4 linked regions of the Macaca fascicularis genome follow. The protein of the gene in region 1 purifies or fractionates together with the protein of each later gene. This does not show direct contact. Links are inferred from orthologs where the notes say so. Each region holds a gene or a part of one and is shown on either strand. Other genes may lie near its edges.

What was found. The genes of interacting proteins can lie anywhere in the genome.
Region 2: the proteins of DNAJB11 (region 1) and SDF2 purify together in Homo sapiens (affinity purification with mass spectrometry; 3 studies listed by BioGRID and IntAct, counting the BioPlex papers as one, with this or other methods). This does not show direct contact. The link is inferred for Macaca fascicularis from reciprocal best matches to the Homo sapiens genes DNAJB11 and SDF2.
Region 3: the proteins of DNAJB11 (region 1) and SDF2L1 purify together in Homo sapiens (affinity purification with mass spectrometry; 3 studies listed by BioGRID and IntAct, counting the BioPlex papers as one, with this or other methods). This does not show direct contact. The link is inferred for Macaca fascicularis from reciprocal best matches to the Homo sapiens genes DNAJB11 and SDF2L1.
Region 4: the proteins of DNAJB11 (region 1) and DNAJC3 purify together in Homo sapiens (affinity purification with mass spectrometry; 3 studies listed by BioGRID and IntAct, with this or other methods). This does not show direct contact. The link is inferred for Macaca fascicularis from reciprocal best matches to the Homo sapiens genes DNAJB11 and DNAJC3.

The regions. Positions count from the first base shown.
Region 1 is NC_088376.1:98,516,953-98,521,261, reverse strand, and holds the start of DNAJB11 (dnaJ homolog subfamily B member 11), read right to left. Parts: upstream 2,806-4,309; 5' UTR 2,598-2,805; coding exon 2,530-2,597; intron 1,404-2,529; coding exon 1,247-1,403; intron 1-1,246. UniProt on the Homo sapiens protein: As a co-chaperone for HSPA5 it is required for proper folding, trafficking or degradation of proteins.
Region 2 is NC_088390.1:34,133,088-34,137,100, forward strand, and holds the start of SDF2 (stromal cell-derived factor 2), read right to left. Parts: upstream 2,803-4,013; 5' UTR 2,762-2,802; coding exon 2,611-2,761; intron 1-2,610.
Region 3 is NC_088384.1:31,489,728-31,493,566, forward strand, and holds SDF2L1 (stromal cell-derived factor 2-like protein 1), read right to left. Parts: upstream 2,483-3,839; 5' UTR 2,451-2,482; coding exon 2,264-2,450; intron 1,917-2,263; coding exon 1,720-1,916; intron 905-1,719; coding exon 623-904; 3' UTR 503-622; downstream 1-502.
Region 4 is NC_088391.1:86,615,560-86,619,830, reverse strand, and holds the start of DNAJC3 (dnaJ homolog subfamily C member 3), read right to left. Parts: upstream 2,803-4,271; 5' UTR 2,696-2,802; coding exon 2,614-2,695; intron 1-2,613. UniProt on the Homo sapiens protein: Involved in the unfolded protein response (UPR) during endoplasmic reticulum (ER) stress.

The DNA.
Region 1 (4,309 bases):
GGGATTCCTTCCTTTCAAGGTTTATGTCTTCCTAAAATACTTTTCAATTTGTTTTTAGCCTTCTCAATATATAAGAATTTAAACTTAAATTCGGGAGTTTTAGCTCTATGACTTTTAGTTCAACTAATTTTTTTCTGTGTCCATTTAGAAAATGAGAATAAAAATATGCCTAGCTCTAATGTATTTCCTGGTGTCCTAGTGAAGGTTAAATGAGATGATACAAATGGAGAGTGTTTTGGTCCCCAGATTAGAGGTTGGAAAATCAAATTAAAACTGTGCTTTGTTTGATCTACGTAAAAAAGAAATTTAACTGAATTAGTTACCAACATTTTTACAAGCAGAACTTATATAAAAGTCTAGATTTTCAACTTTTCTGGAAAAATTAAATCATCTAGGAACATACTGTTTGCATTACTATGACAAAAACTGGCTAGGGTTGAGGTAACAGCTGCTCCCTTGAAATGGGGCCAGAAGGCTTCAATTTGTCAAAGCCCTCAACAATCCTTATTGCTTCCCAACATGGAGGCAGAATATCTGCTGTCATGTTTTAATTTATACCTGCCCTGCATGTTATTTGTCTAGTTCATATGAACATGTAGGTTTGCAACTCTCATGAAGGCTTTCTTTTTATTTTTGGTCTAGCTCCCAAACTGACTGACTGACAGACCAATCAGTTGATCTACTTATTAATCTACCAATCTTTCATTTATTCTTTTGCAGCATTATTCTCCTTCTTAAAATAAATATTAATATCAAAAGGCAGAAAATGGTATCTACTAACATGAATGTAATATCTAGTACAATACAGTATCAAGTACTACTTTTACTTTCATCTACCATCTACTTTTAAATAAAAGTGACCTGGGCTGGGCGTGGTAGCTCACACCTGTAATCCCAACACTTTGAGAGGCCGAGGCGGGCGGGTCACTTGAGGTCAGGAGTTCGAGACCAGCCTGGCCAACATGGTGAAACCCTGTCTCTACTAAAAATACAAAAATTAACCAGGCGTGGTGACATGCACTTGTAATCCCAGCTACTCGGGAGGCTGAGGTGGGAGAAGTGCTTGAACCGGGGAGGCGGAGGTTGCAGTGAGCAGAGATTGCACCACTGCACTCCAGCCTAGGCAATAAAGTGAGACTCAGTCTCTAAATAAATATATGTGAGCTGAAAAGAGTATTTCTCTGTATTGTATATTTTTTCTAGAGCTACAGATTTTATTTGTTCTTTATCACTTTTCCTGACTCACCTCATAAGCAGCACCCAGATCCTGGAATTTCTCCTGGGCTTGTGGATCATCAGGGTTCCGGTCGGGATGAAGCTGCAGGGCTAGTTTCCTATAGGCCTTTTTAATATCCTTTATAGAGGCACTTCGAGGCACCCCCAAGATCTTATAGAAGTCTCGTCTGGGAAGTAGAGGGAGAGAATACTTCATCAGAGTTACATGTTACATTTTTAAAAGTAAAAGATTTATTTTTCCTCTACATTTAGGTTTGTGTCTGAGCAAAGAGGTACGAAAGTGAACGTTTATGTGACACATATACACACAAAGAATGACTAAAAAGAGAACACCAGAATTTGTAATGAATCTTATATATTGAAGTAATCACAGTAAGAAGCTACATACTTCTTTTTAGATTATTCAAAACATCTGTGGCATCTTCTTTCAGAACCACCTTCAGTCAAGAAAACCACTTCCTTATTTTATGGTCTCATGTTATCTTTAGGCAATAACCATATAATCAAATTAACTCTTCCCCCCTTTCTCTACATTTGCTCCAAATGATTTTGACTTTTCTAAAAGTCAAATAACACTCTCAAGGGATGATTTTCCTTATTTAAAAAGATTATGCCACATAAATGTCCTAACAGTAGCATTGCCAGAATGTTAAAGACGAAGCAACTTAAGACAATAAATAGCTCAAGAAGCTGGGAAGCACAAGGGCTCTCCAAAGGGTCTTCTTGTTCCCCTCCCCATCCAATTTCCTTCAGTCCCAACTCGGCCTGGCATCATCCACCCACTTTAATGTCAGCCCCCCAATGGCTCTTCGCAGGCTTGGCATAGAGCATCGTCCGCTTCTCCAGCTCAGCGGGGCACAGCAACCCACCTCTTTGATCAAACAAACGTCCATCCCCCCAACCTCAGCCTAGCACTGTCACTACCTTTCCTTACAGTCAGGCATCCCTCTTTCTTCCCCCAGCTCTACGTGACAGTGCTCCAGCTCACAACCACCTTCTTTCCCTCATCCCCCAAATGCCGTTGGCAATGCATCCAACTCCCACTCCTCCGGGCAAATCTAGCTCTACCAAAGACCTTCTCTGGACCTAACGCCTTCTCACTGGTGTCACCTACGGTTCGCTTCTCACCCCACTAGTCTGGCCCATACTACCCCTTCCTCCGCCACCCCGCCAACCCACAGCGATGCCCCTCTCCACTCCCTCAGTCTGGCAATACCACTTCCCCCACCCCCTCCCACCCCCTAGCAAAGGCTGACCCCCGGGCCCCGCTGTCTGCGAGTGTCTATTCCTCACCCGGCAATCACGGCCCCGATGAGGTACAGTAGCAACAGGCAAAAGGTGCTCAGGTTCTGCGGAGCCATGGTTCCTCTGTCCCGGGTCTTGTCCCACACACTCCTCACAGCCTCCTCCGCCGCCGCGTCGGCTCGCCAGCCCACCCAGCCCTGTGAGGCGCCTCACACTGGGGGGCGGGGGGGTCCCCTCCTTGGTCCGCAGAGACAGCTAGCTAGCCCCCTCCTCTTCCAGTCCACTTCCCGGGAGTCCCAAGTCCCGGTGAGAGAAGACCCCGGTAAGCGAGAGCCAATCGTTGCCCGGGACATCACACGCGGCCGGCGCCTGAAAGCCAATCAGCGCAGTACACTTCACCTCCGAGGCGGCACGGGTAGCCAGTTAGGCTTCAGAACTGCAGTCGCAGATCTTGACCAATTAGAAGAGGAGACGTCAGAGGGTCGCGCCGCTGCAGGAACCCGCTCTGCCCGAGCTACCCCGAGTCGTAGAAAATTACGTAATGGTAGGGGGCTGGTCCGAGTAAGGGCACCTGAGGTACACGAAATCCTCCCCGACTCACCCACTTCCTCGAACTTTCCACCAATCAGGAGGCTCCTCCCCAGCACCAACCAATTGTGGGAGAGAAGTTTTCTCTGTGTTTCAAGTTTGGAATTTCATTCATACCCAGCTACGCGCCGAATGCGGGAGCAGAATGAGGGAACAGCGGCAGAATGAGCGGGGACGGTTATTCCCCAACTGTACATCGGACGCATTGCTTAGGACTCTTATTTTACGTTCTCCAAGCAACTCCATAAGTCTCGGAAAGGCGACAGTGATGATTGACCGACTTAAGTGCGGATTCGGCTTGCACCGCTTCTCAGTGGTGAGACTCCTTACTCCTTCCCTCCTCCCAAGTCTGAGCCTAAGTTTCTTTATCAACAAAACTAAGGCAAAGCACTTATTGGCAGTTCTGTGAATTTTAACAGGGAAAAAAAATCTGTAAATCGTCTGGCGTATAGTAAGCAGGCAATGAATAAAAACCATTATTACTGTTCGAGCATAAGTCTTTGATTCCCCGTCTTCCCCCCCGATTTTGCTCATCACAGTTACACAACACCTAGTTGATCAGGACAAAGCTCTAGGTGTTTTTACTCCTTTCATATATAAGCTATCCAAATCTTTACCTCTGAACTATACTTGAATCTGTTCACTACATCTCCATTACTAGGTCTCTGGATCACAGTGTATCTCTCACCTGGCCAGGGCCTCCTAACTGGCCTCCTTGTCTCCACTCTTAATATCTTCCTTAATACCTTCATATATGTTGCTCATCCCTGTCCCTCACTCCTTTTTTTTTTTTTTTTTTAAGGGCCGGGCGCGGTGGCTCACGCCTGTAATCCCAGCACTTTGGGAGGCCGAGATGGGCGGATCACCTGAGGTCAGGAGCTTGAGACCAGCCTGGCCAACATGGTGAAACCCCGTCTCTACTAAAACTACAAAAATTAGCAGGGTGTGGTGGCGAGCGCCTGTAATCCCAGCTACTCGGGAGGCTGAGGCAGGAGAATTGCTTGAACCTGGGAGGTGGAGGTTGCAATGACCTGAGTTCCTGCCACTGCACTCCATCCTGGGCGACAGAGTGAGACTCCATTTCAAAAAAAAATAAATACATAAAAAATAAAAGTCAAATCATGTCACTCCCCTGTTTAAAAGCCTGGAATGGCTCTTCATTTGCACTTAGAATAAAATCCCAGCTCTATGCTAGTTTACAAAGCCATTTATGCTTTGTCCTCTCACCTATTATGCTCCT
Region 2 (4,013 bases), on another chromosome or scaffold:
AAATTAATCAGGTGTGGTGGGGTGCACTTGCAGTCCCAGCTACTCAGGAGGCTGAGATGTGAGGATTGCTTGGGCCCAGGAGGTCAAGGCTGCAATGAGTCGTGATTGTGTCACTGCACCTCAGCTTGGACGACAGAGTAAGACTCTGTTTCTTAATTTCTTTCTTTTTTTTTTTGAGACAGAGTCTGTTCTGTCACCAGGCTGGAGTGCAGTGGTGCGATCTCGGCTCACTGCAACCTCCAATTCTCTGGTTCAAGTGATTCTCCTGCCTTGGTCTCCCATGTCTCTTAAGGAAAGAAAAAATCTAGCTACAGGATTTAAAAAGCTGGGGCGGGGGGGTGCGGTATACAAATAATCGCTGATAGCTAATGTGTGTTACTAAGACTGCTCAGCACCACAGTGTGTGAGGACTTACTGGGTATCTAGCACTGACCTAAGTCCTTTGTTTGAATATTCTTATTTGACATCTACATTTGCTGAAGTAGGTATTATTATCCCCAGCATACCCAAGGTCACACAACTCTAAGAAACAAGGCTGGGACTGAATGAACCTAGACAGCCCGACTCTAGAACTAACACTCTTAACCATTCTGCATCATATCTCATTAAGATCATATTTCTTCCAAAAGCTTTAAATTGTCAGGTTTCCCCAAACGAGCTACTCTCATAAACACCAGGGATACCCTCTTTCCTAGGCTTCATTCACTACCCAGGTCTTTGAAAGCATTCGTATTTCCCAGATACTTTCCTCTAATAGTTTTACCTGTTCCTTCTAGCTTTGCTTTCAGCTCCATGGCCTTGCCTGACCAAAGACTTTTGATATTTCACTTTTACCACGTATACCATTATGCCTCGTGCCAGTTACACGGGTAAATATAGCCAACTATCAGCTCCTTTCTACTGTCTCCTTCCACTCAGCTCATGACTTTATTATATCATTCTTTTTCAGAAAAGCCAAACCAAGTCTCCCTTCCTACTTCTGGTTACTGCCTTACAGCTCTCTGGGGTCCTCACAGCCACGCTTCACTACTAAACCATGGTCTACATTTTGTCTCCTACATTTTCTGCTTTCTATTCAACCCTTCACTTCCTCCTCCAAATCCTTATACCTTGGGATTATCCAAAGTTCTATGCCTGGCCTTCATATATTTCCACCTGTAGTTCTTAAATTGCTGAGGGTCAGGACAAAAGCATTTGTATTTTTAACAAGTTTCTCAAGTTATTCATATTGATCCCAGATTGAGAACCACAGTTCATCCTGGGCAATTTCATCCACTACCCTGACATTTTCAACCACAGTCTGTACAAGATGTTGTATTTAATGTTGTATCTAATGTGGTATCTCAGGCTCAGCAGAGATCCCTTTTCTGAGCTTCAGACTGAACCTGGTTCCCAAATCTGGCTGTCCATCAGAACCACCTGAAGAGCTTTTTAAACCTACAGATTGCTACTGCCAAGCCTCTGTCCACCTCCACTCTAATTCAGTAGATCCAAAGTTGGAAACCAAAGCAAATTAAAAAATAAGCCTGACAACATGTTAGGTGTTCACTGAATGGGTGCTAGGATTATTAAGACATCGCAGTGATGATAACTCACGTCCTTGCCTAGTCTAACTGATCAGATAGGTTTTGGGAATCATGAACCAGACTAGCCCACCTGACAGAACTCTTTCCTCCCTCAGCAAACAGCATCATCAGTCATCCAAGATAGAATTCTACCAGCTATCTTAAATGCCTCTCACATCTCACTAGCTGACCTTCATTCTTTTTTTGTTTGCTTATCTTTTTTTTTCAGGCAGATAAGACTTTCTTTTTTTGGTCTGTTTTTATTATATTGTAATCTTCTTGACTGATTATCACTACCGAATCTCCTGCAGGTAGTACAATTCTAGTCATTTAGTAGGAACTCATTAAGACCTATGCTGAATGAATGAATTCAAATAATTTATTATTAAACATTTTAATTTCAAATGCTTAAAAAAAAAAAAAGTTTCTGTGCAATTCCTGTCACTGCTCCAAGTTCCTTACAAGAAGGAGGTTCAGATTTGGGTAGAAGGGGCCCAAAAGATAGGAATTAAGGAGCAAGTGTAAGATGCGGAAGAGCTGGAAGACAAAGGGTTGTAGTCAACGAGTGAGCTCTTGGAGTTTAAAGTTTGAGATACAGTACTTACTGTTACTTTAAAATTTCAGACACAGCACTTCCTGTAATTTTCTTGTCTGTCTCTAAAGCAGGCTTTGAACCTGGATAGATTTGGATAGAACCCCGACTTTGACATTTGCTAGCTGCAAGGCTTTGAATAAACGATTTAATTTCTCTGCGTCTGTTAACTCATCTGTGAAATGAGGATAGCAATAGTGTCACCTTACATGAATGTTAATAAGCGGGAAAAGTACATAGGTAACGTGCCTGGCCTGTAGTTCACCAAATATTAGGTGGTGTTGCGATTAAGATGCCTTAGAACAACTCAGTTATCCGACTATCCAGACCTGAGGAACCGTCCCAGGGAACACCTAACCTTCCCAGACCACACCCTCAGATTTTCTTTAGGCCCCGCCCCTCCAGATACTCCCAGGCCTCCCGAGCCCACCCGAGCCCGATCCCCAGCATTACCTGACCCATAGCGCACGTCGTGTGAGTGCAGTCGGACGTTGTGGCGCGTATTGAGTAGCTTTACCACGGAGCCGCAAGTAACGACAGCCAGGCTGGACGCACCCACAGCGCTCCACAAACACCCCAATAACAGTAGAGGTACTACAGCCATCCTAGCTGTATCGCGGAGCCCCAAATCTTCGAAGAAAACGCGGCCCCTCCCCGGAACCGGAAGCTGAAGACGATACCACGGAGAGAAGGAAGTGAAGAAGCCCGAGTCTGATCTTTATGGTTTATCTGGCTAGAGCGGCCTGAGAAACAGGCTGAGCCTGGTTACTTACGATACTCTCGCCCTGTTCCAGGGGCTCAGTAACAGCTGCCTTCCTGAGCCGCTTCGGTTACCGTTCGCACCCACGGGACGAAAGCTCCCGAGAGCGGGAGAGAGAACAAGCAATGGCCCACCCACTCCCGGTGACAGAGAGCCGGAAATGACGTAGCACGTTGACGCAGCGGCGGCGGCGGCGGCGGCGGCGGCGGAGGGGCAGTGCGGTGGGTCCGTAGTATCTTTTCCCTGTCTCGGTTCGACGACTCCATTTTTCCTCGGTGGGGGCTTAGCGCACCGGAGGAGCGGCGGACTTCAGGCAAGTAAAGTTCCGACTGGGGAGCGTGTTTCTCGCAGGAGTCAGGTGGGGAACCGGGCTCCTAGGGCCTGGTCCCGTAAGGGAAGAGGCAATGGGGAGCCGTATGTGGGAAGAAGGGGGGGCCTGGCCTTCCCTGCTCTATGGGGGGAAGGGGGAGGAAAGCGCTGCAGTTGCTCAGAGTCTCAAAGCTTTTCCCAGCCCGGTAACACCCGGAACCCGTGAATTGAGTGGCATGTTGAATCAACAGGCTTCCTGGCATCCAGTCCTTCTCTCCGCAGATTTTTAAAACTGGGCCACGCGAAAGGATTGGGGATAGAAGGGACCTGGGGCTTCTGAACCAGGATCAGGTGATCGAGTTGTTTGTTCTGAGGTTATGAATCCTATGGAGCTTTCAGCAGCTCGATCATCAGGCTAGAGGGCGATGCCAAATTCCAGCTCTTTACATGTTGCTGAATAATACAAATAGAACTTTTTGTAGATAGTTGCATCCTTCATCCCTTTCTAAAGATCGAAGGTGTTGTAGAAGTACCTAAAGCCCGTCCATTCTCCGTAGATTCATTTCCTCAAACGTGTGCCAGAGGCCTATCATGAACATCAAAATGAGTTATTAAGTCAAAACTCGTCTTCTAGTTTCTGCCTTTCTCCTCAGGCACTCGTTTGAACCAGCTGGAGAAGTTAATTTTCCTGGGTTGTTGCAAGAACTGATACTTATTTCACAGGCCTAAGATCTCTGGAAATACTTCCATGGAAATTCACTGTATCAGAAGTAACAAGGGTGTATGA
Region 3 (3,839 bases), on another chromosome or scaffold:
TGAGACCATCTCTAAAAAAGCAAAACCCAGGCCGTGCATGGTGGTTCATGTCTGTAATCCCAGCACTTTGGGAGGCTGAGGTGGGCATATCACCTGAGGTAGGAAGTTCGAGACCAGCCTGGCCAACATGGTGAAACCCCGTCTCTACTTAAAAAAAAAAAAAATACAAAAATTAACCGGGTATGGTGGCAGATGCCTGTAATCCCAGCTACTCAGGAGGCTGAGGCAGGAGAATCACTTGAACCCAGGGGACGGAGGTTGCAGTGAGTTGAGATTGCACCATTGCGCTCCAGCCTGGGGGACAAGAGCGAGAGTTCGTCTCAAAAGAAAAAAAAAAGCAAAACCCCCCAAAAAACCAAGAATAATAATAATAATAATAAAGGGTTTGGACAGGTTCAGCAGTCACGCTGGGATGGAGACAGGTTTTACACTGAGGAAGAGATGATCAACTGGGCCTGGGCTGGCAGCTCCTGGTCATCCTCAGGTTCACAGTGAAACACAATCATAGACCAACATTCTTTAATCACAAAGGCACTTGAGGACCCCTACAAACCCAAAGTCTCTGCCAAGAGTGGGCCCGCAGACACCCCACCTTCTATCCACCCATTCATCCATCCCACACTCAGAGTTCATCGTGACCTGCAGAGGGCTCCACACTAGGCTTGATGAAGATGCCTTCCATGGCCTTCCATGTATTGTGCGTGTTGGCACTGGGCATGCCGTGGACCTCATGCTGCCCACGGATGGGGCTTCCATACTGCTCACCCGTGACTGACAGGAACACAGAGGTGCCCACGTGCTGGAAGCGCACAGCAGCCTCACGCTCCCAGTGCTGTCCAGAGCAGCGCACTGTCCATAGGTCCAGGTCGTCACCCTCGCCGTCTTCCCCAAAGGCACTCACCTCCTATAGGTGCAGAGGGTGAGGGGACAGTGGTCACCACAGAAGGCGGCATTCGTACCTACACTGAGCCTAGGATCCTTCCCTGCCCTTCCTGGAGACTCAGCTCCCACAGCTGCAAAAGGTGACACCATGACCCGCCCGCACAACCTCTGGCACTCCCTCCCCAGCATGGGCTCTTCAGACACGTGCACACACCATTGCATCTGTCTGTGCAGAGACTACTGGTCCCCACAGAGCTAAGGCCTCCTCCTCCACATTCTCCCAGTCCTAATCCCTCTGACCTACCTTCAGCCCCTCAGGCTAGCAGTCAAGCTGTCTATCTATCTCAAACATTTTCTTCCACCAACTCTCCAAGGGCACCCACTGTTCCATCCCAATCCCCTGAATTCCACTGACCTCCACGCATTGGTGCAATCTCTTCTGCTGGCCTGGGAAGTCCTTCTTTTCCCTTTGTGGCTTGGAGGACTCCTAATCATCCTTTCAGACCCAGCCTGAGTTCCTCCTCCCCAGTGGAGTTTCCTATTCCCCACCCTCAAGGCTGTGTGGATTCTCCTCCTGGGTCCCACTTGCCCCCAGAGGAAGAGCTATCCAGGAGGATCTCTTCGGATCTCTCTCCCATCGGTCTCCCTGCAGGGCCGGGAGCACCTGGGGGCAGGATCTTGGCGGAGTTACTCTGTTTCCCCCGAAGGGGTGCTCAATAACCATCTCTGAAGTGAAATTTCCATTTCACGAAGAAGCTGAGGCTCGGATTGGAACCCAGGATCTCTGGCCCCTCACACAGGCCAGGAATCTCTCTGGGGGCTCCGGGAGGGGCTCACCTGGTTGTTGGACAGCGGTGACGGGAAGTGGTGCGTGTGTAGGTTCTTGCCTGTAAGCACATGCGTGAGCCGCACTGCCTGCCCGCAGCGCACCGGGGACCCACGCGGGCACCCGCCTTCCGAACCGCCGCGGATCCGCCAGTAGCTATTGGCGTCGTCCGACGCCTCCACGCCGGTCACCGATTGCTGGCCGCTGCCTGAGGAGTGACACCCCACCCACCCAGGGTCTCCGTCAATCGCAGAACCCCGGACCCTCGCCCTGGGACCATAACATTTCCCAGGGGACCCCAAGGGGCTCACCCCCAGTCCCGGCCCCCGCCTGACACCCCCCTCAGTCTTTGGGCCTGCAGTTCCCCGACGACCGTCCCCACCCTCAATATCCTCGACACACTCAAAGCCTTGCGCCCCTCGACCCCCCAACGACTCTAGAGCCTCCGCCGCCCGGCTTCGAGATGGCCCACAGACCCCCACGACCACCCTGTCTCCACACTCCCAACCCCAAGCCCCCGATCCCCGCGCTCTCCCAGTCGCAGGTCACACGCACCGGATCCGTATTTGATGTCGTGCGAGTGCAGCCGCACCCGGTGGTGCGTATTGAGCAGCTTCAGCACCGACCCGCAGGTCACGAGCCCCGCGCCAGTCTTGGCGGCACTACCGCCCGGCACTAAGAGCGCCAGCAGCAGCCCCAACAGCACCGGCCCGGCAGACCCGCCGCGGCCCGCGCTCCACATCGCCCCGGCCCGGCTCCAGCCGCTCCGGCCCTAGGGCTGCTTCCGTCCTCGCCGCGGCCCAATCCAGTTCTGACAGCGCCCGCTCGCGGCAGCCAATGGTCGGCCCGCGCGGCACTCCGCTTGCACTGCCATTGGGTCATTGAGGAGAGGGCCCGCCCCCGGCTCGCTAGAGCAGTAGCTGGGCGGGGACTGGAGACACGAGGAGGGTTTTGATTGGTACACGCTTCCGAGGACTTTCCAATGAGTGTCCAGGGAAGGGCGGCTGAGTAGCCAAGCGGCGGAGAATGAGCGGGAGCGCTTGGTGAGGACGCCGAGTCCGAGCCCCGCAGCCGCTGAGTGCCTGGATACCAGCTCAGGATCCTAGGACCCTGCAGGCACGTGTTCACGACGCCCCTTGATCCTGGACTCCTGGGCACTCAGTAATTAGTCTCTCCCCTCAGAACCTGGGACCACAACTGCAGGGTCTTGAGGCTGTTGGATCACTAGATTTTGTGGTCACAAAGTCGACAGATCCCAGAATCACTGAATCGTCTGGTCCTTCAGTCCCTGGACCCCGAGATTAATGAAACCCCCAGTCATTCGGCCCTAGCCGCCTCTCTGACACTGGGTCACCACAGTCCCTAGACCCTGGGGTTTCTGAATTCCCCTGGCCACTTATACATTTGACTCCTTTCGTGGCTAAATCTTGTGGTCACTGGGTCATCGGGCAGGAGAGGGCAGCAGGGAGCTGTGGCGTCGAGAATAATGGCAGCTTCCCACCAGAAAGCCCCAGAGCTGTCTTAGGAAACCAGAGTCCAAGGAGACCAAGGGGCTGTGGGAACCAAGCCTGGGTGACTGTGTCCCAGTCTCCTGGCCATGAGTAGGTCTCCCTTTTGCCGCCTTCTCAGAGTGTTGTCAGCTCAACCTTCAAAGGGAGGAAAACTTATACCACTGTTTATTCATTCATGGGACATTGTTGCAGCGGCTTCACTCCAGATCCTGTGGGGTCACAGAGGAAATAGCTCTGGGCTCAAGAGGCTAGGGTGTAGTTGAAGCACAGGCAAAGCAGAGACAAAAGTTCATATTTAATTAAATCGTCCAGAATTTTGCATTCAGAAAATCCAGAGTAAAGCGATTTTCATTACAGCAACATGTTATTTTGGGGGTTTCATGTTTCATATTGTTTTTATTTTGAGTTACATGTAGTATAAGTCACCTTGATCTTTTCAGCATTTAGGTGTCCAAACAGTTAAAGGTCAGTCTACCCTGGATTTGGTAGTCACTGCACTTGAGGGGTTTCCAGTCTAGGGTGGAAGAGCTGAAGTACTATCTGAGAGGCAACGGATATATACTCTTGGACATGTCAGCCATCACCTCAAAATCAACACATGCAAAGCAGAATTCCTGGTC
Region 4 (4,271 bases), on another chromosome or scaffold:
AGAAAAATCTAGAAGAAAACAGACAAATATTTCAAAATCAGAAAAAACTAGGTCATCTCTTCTCCATCCTGTGCCACTCTTAGTTCCACATTCACTTCTCTCATAACCATTCTCCATTTCTTTTTTTAAAAGTGAATTGTATTGTGTATATTCGATGTTTACAACATAGTATGAGACACACACAGATAAAATGGTTACAATAGTGAAGCAGATTAACAAGAGTGAAGCAGATTAATATATCTATCATCTCACATAATTATTTTTTGTGTGACAAGAGCAGCTAAAATCTACCTATTTAACAAAAATCCTTAATACAACACAATTTTATTAAGCCTCAGGCCTAGCAGTAGCACCATTTGCCTCCCAGAGAACTATGAGATTAGTGAATCCAGACAGAATTTATTTGGGAAAACAGGGGCTAACAGTTTGCTAATTCAAGACAGAGTTCTTACCTTTATATCCCCATCACCAAATCCAGTGTCAAATACATAGCAGACCCCTAATTTAACTCCTCTATATAATTTATTACACCAGTAACTCAAGTGTGGTCATCTGGCGTCTTTATAGAAAAGCACAATTTCAGGTACTATCAAGATCTAATGAATCAAGCTCTGTAAGTGGGGTACAGCACTCTGTTTTAAAACCCCTCCATGTGCGATTCTGATGCACACTCAAGTTTGAGAACCATTGTATTAAACCTCCCAGGAAATAACCTTCCTGTTAATTACAAAAAAGTGCTGGGGTTTTTTCCTCAGCTGCCATCACTTAAAAATGCTTGGACTCACATGATGTTGTCAACTACTTCTGTCTCCAGCGTGCACACAAAATGAACTTTAGTAAAACCTTTGGAGCCTCAGTTCCCTGGTCTGTGAAGCAGGAATAATACCACACGCTTTCATAAATAAGAGATAGCTTACAGAAAGGCTCCTTTCTTTCCTTTCTTTTCTGTTACCTGTACCAAGTCCCCGCTACTTTACAAAGACAATGGTCCTAAAGAAGACACTCTGGCACTCCTCTGAAAAATGTCACCAGTGCCTCCTACACAGAAAAGCTCTCTAATAAGGTTTTCTCATGGAAAATACCACAGGAGGGAAATGAAGAGTTAAAGAGTCCTTACAGACCCATAAACAGAACAGCAATTCTAAAAAGATGGTTCACAAAGTAGTGGGAAAAGCAATCATTCAAAATTGTGCACCTCTGTAACTTAAAAAAAAAAAATCACCATTAAACAGAACATAGGCAACTTTCTCTTAAGTGTCCAAAATAAATCATAAATGATAACTGGAGATAAATAATAGAGATGAGGGGTGGGAGGTGCGGGGGCAGGAGGAATGAAGCTTTTGAAAATGCAAAAGAACTAGAATATATGACCCATATTAAAGTGGTACAATCCAATCCCCTTAGATTTTCTGGCGGCAGCCTCACTGTCAAATTCTTTGTCCCAGTGTTGCCACACTATGTGTTCTGATTTGGGGTTCAAAAAATATGGTTACCGGGGGAAGCAAAAGCAAAACCCACTGCTGTGGGTGAGACCTAAAAACTGGGGAGTACTACTTTAAAAAAAAAAAAGGTTAAGAACTTTCAGAAGAATTCACTATAAACAATTCCCAACTTTTAGTTCCTCGCTCCCTTTGAATGGAATACTCAAAAGGTTTAATTTGACCTCCTTGACAACTAGCCCTTTTTACGGGGATGAAAATAGATCAGTGCATGTGATGTGTCATTACACTCGAATATTTCGCACAGTAACCGCGCCAGAAGCATTCGTTAAATCGGCACTATCAGCTTTAATTCTTACTCCTCCCCGCTGCCATCTAAGATAGGACAGTCCTCTATTTTCGCTATTCTGGAGTAGCCAACATTCCAGTCTGCAGGACTGAAGTGAAATTTAATCCCTCATATCTTTTTAAGGGAACCTTTTACAGCGAACTTGGAAAAGTAATGCCAGCTATACGTTGAATGGCACCATGCTGGGAGTTGTAAAACCACAAACTCAGTGCCTGGCCGTCCGGGAGGTGGAATTCCAACAGCGGCTCCTCCCTGCACCAAACTAACAATTTCTCCACACGACAGTGCATCTTAATGCGGATGGTTACTCACTTTTTAAATAGTCAACACCGTCCCCTCTAACTCCCAGCCAGACATGACACTTCTACCCCACCCAAGAACGCCAGGGCGAAGGAAGTCTTTTGGGCACCTTAGTGCCTCCTCCTAGCACCAATGACTGACAGTGTCCCCAGGCGCCCAGCGAGGGTCCCAAGCGAGGCCGGGACCCAAAGACTGTCCAAGTCTCCGCGTCCCAGGACGTCCTGAAGTCGCAGCCCCGTGCCCCCGCTCCCCGCCACGGGGTGCACTCCGCCTCCTCCGACTCCTGCGGCCCCTTTCCTTAGTCCAAACCCGCTGTCCCGGCCCCGCGGCCCTCCGGTCCCCTCGACTCTTCCCCAGGCAAACCCGGAACCGGGCGCGGGCTCAGGCCCAAGCCAGGCCGCGGGCTCCCCCAGCGCTCACCCCACCTCCCGAGCCGCCCCGGGACACGCGCCCGGGCGCAGACGGGAAAGCGCGGGGGGCCTGGTCCGGGAGCCCACTTCCCGGCCGGGGCAGGGCAGGACTCACCTTCGTACTGCAGATCCACCAGGACTAGCAGGAAGGGGAACACCGAGCCCAGCCGGCTGGTCACGGAGCCGGGGGCCACCATGTCCGAGGGCTCGCAAGTGAAGAGAAGGAAGAGTGTGTGGCCCACCAGCACGCGCCGGCGCTCTGGCAGCAGTTGCGCCCGCCCCGGTCGGCTCTCGCTCAGGCCTCAGCGGCTCTGGAGCCCAGCAGAGGAAGGCAGCGGTGGGCGGGGCCCGGGCCACGCTACGCCCCGGAGCGCCGCCGCCGTCCAATCGCCTTCTTTCTGGCGGCTTTCCTCCCGGGCTCGCCGGGGTCGTGGTTCGCGCTGATAGGCTGCGGAGGCCGCCGCCCCGCCCCGTCTCTGATAGGATAACGTGGAAGCACGAGACGAGGCTGCGTCTGCCGGTCGCAGAGCTGTCAGCAAGCTCCAAACCGCCGCGGCCGCTCGGAGGGAAGCCGACGGGGAGTCTGTGGCGGTCGCCGAGTCCGCATGCGCAGGCTGCAAAGGCCCTTTTGGGCCGGTCCCGCCGCTCTAGGTTGGCGAGTGGGACAATTTGATCCTTCCGAGGTTCGCCAGCGTGATGTTAGGAGAGGAAAGCTCAGCCGCAGCGTCCGAATGGGAAGGCCAAACACGGTCCCGGGGCGTCTGGAATTGAGGTCTCAAGTGAGCCGGTAAACACCGCCTCCCGCTGAGAGTCCCGGAACAAATACTGCCTGAACTGAGCCGTAAGCAAGAAACGATCAGGAGAAGCTGGGCGTTCATTAGGGCGATCTGATGATTAGACCATTTCAGGGACAACCAGAGACAAGTGCGTAATTGTTCTAAGGCAGGTAGGTAATTGGCCTGGAAACTTGGGCCCCGCCACCCCGACTTTCAGCAAACCAGCGTGCCCAGGAAAAACAGCGATTGTGGAAAACCCTGTGAAGAAGAGACCAGGAAGGCACTGTGGTTTAAGAGAGCGAGGCGTTCCTGAATGCAGCCAACGTCAACTGGTAAGCAAAATACTGTGAGAACGGATCCTGCATCTTGCGCTTACCATGGGAAATTCAAGAGAGATACGAACCTGAGCAAGATGAGGTTGAAGTAACTCAATGCGGCATTAAGCCTGTTCACGGCCACTTCCTCCGGCGTCACCAACACACACACTGTACACCAGCAGTATTTTTACACGGGGTATGTGTGTTAAATAATATCAAGTGCATACTTATTACTTCACCTGTATTTGCTGCCTTGCTACCATAGAGAAACTCATGAATTATAAATAGCATAGTGAATTTGTGATTCCCTGAAGATATACTAACGAGGACTTTTTAAAAGGCGTCTATTCCGAAGAGAACTAATATGGAGGAAATGGTTTCGAGAAAGAAAAAAGAAAAAACGGAGTCCTTGATTAGTTTTGGGGAAGGCAAAATAATATAATGTGAAGAGTAAAGGATTCAGATCCAGGAAACCCCATAACTTTTATGTAAGTTATCGTCATCTGTAAAGTGGTTAGGATCCTGAAAGTCTCAAAGGTTTGTTTTGAGGTTTCATGAAGCAGATAAATGTTCTTATAAATTGTAGAATGTTATACCAGTGTTAGTTATTCTAACAACAGCGGAATAGTTAAGAGAGGCTCCTTCAGAAATTCCTTGGGATTTTTTTTTTTTTTTTGGCT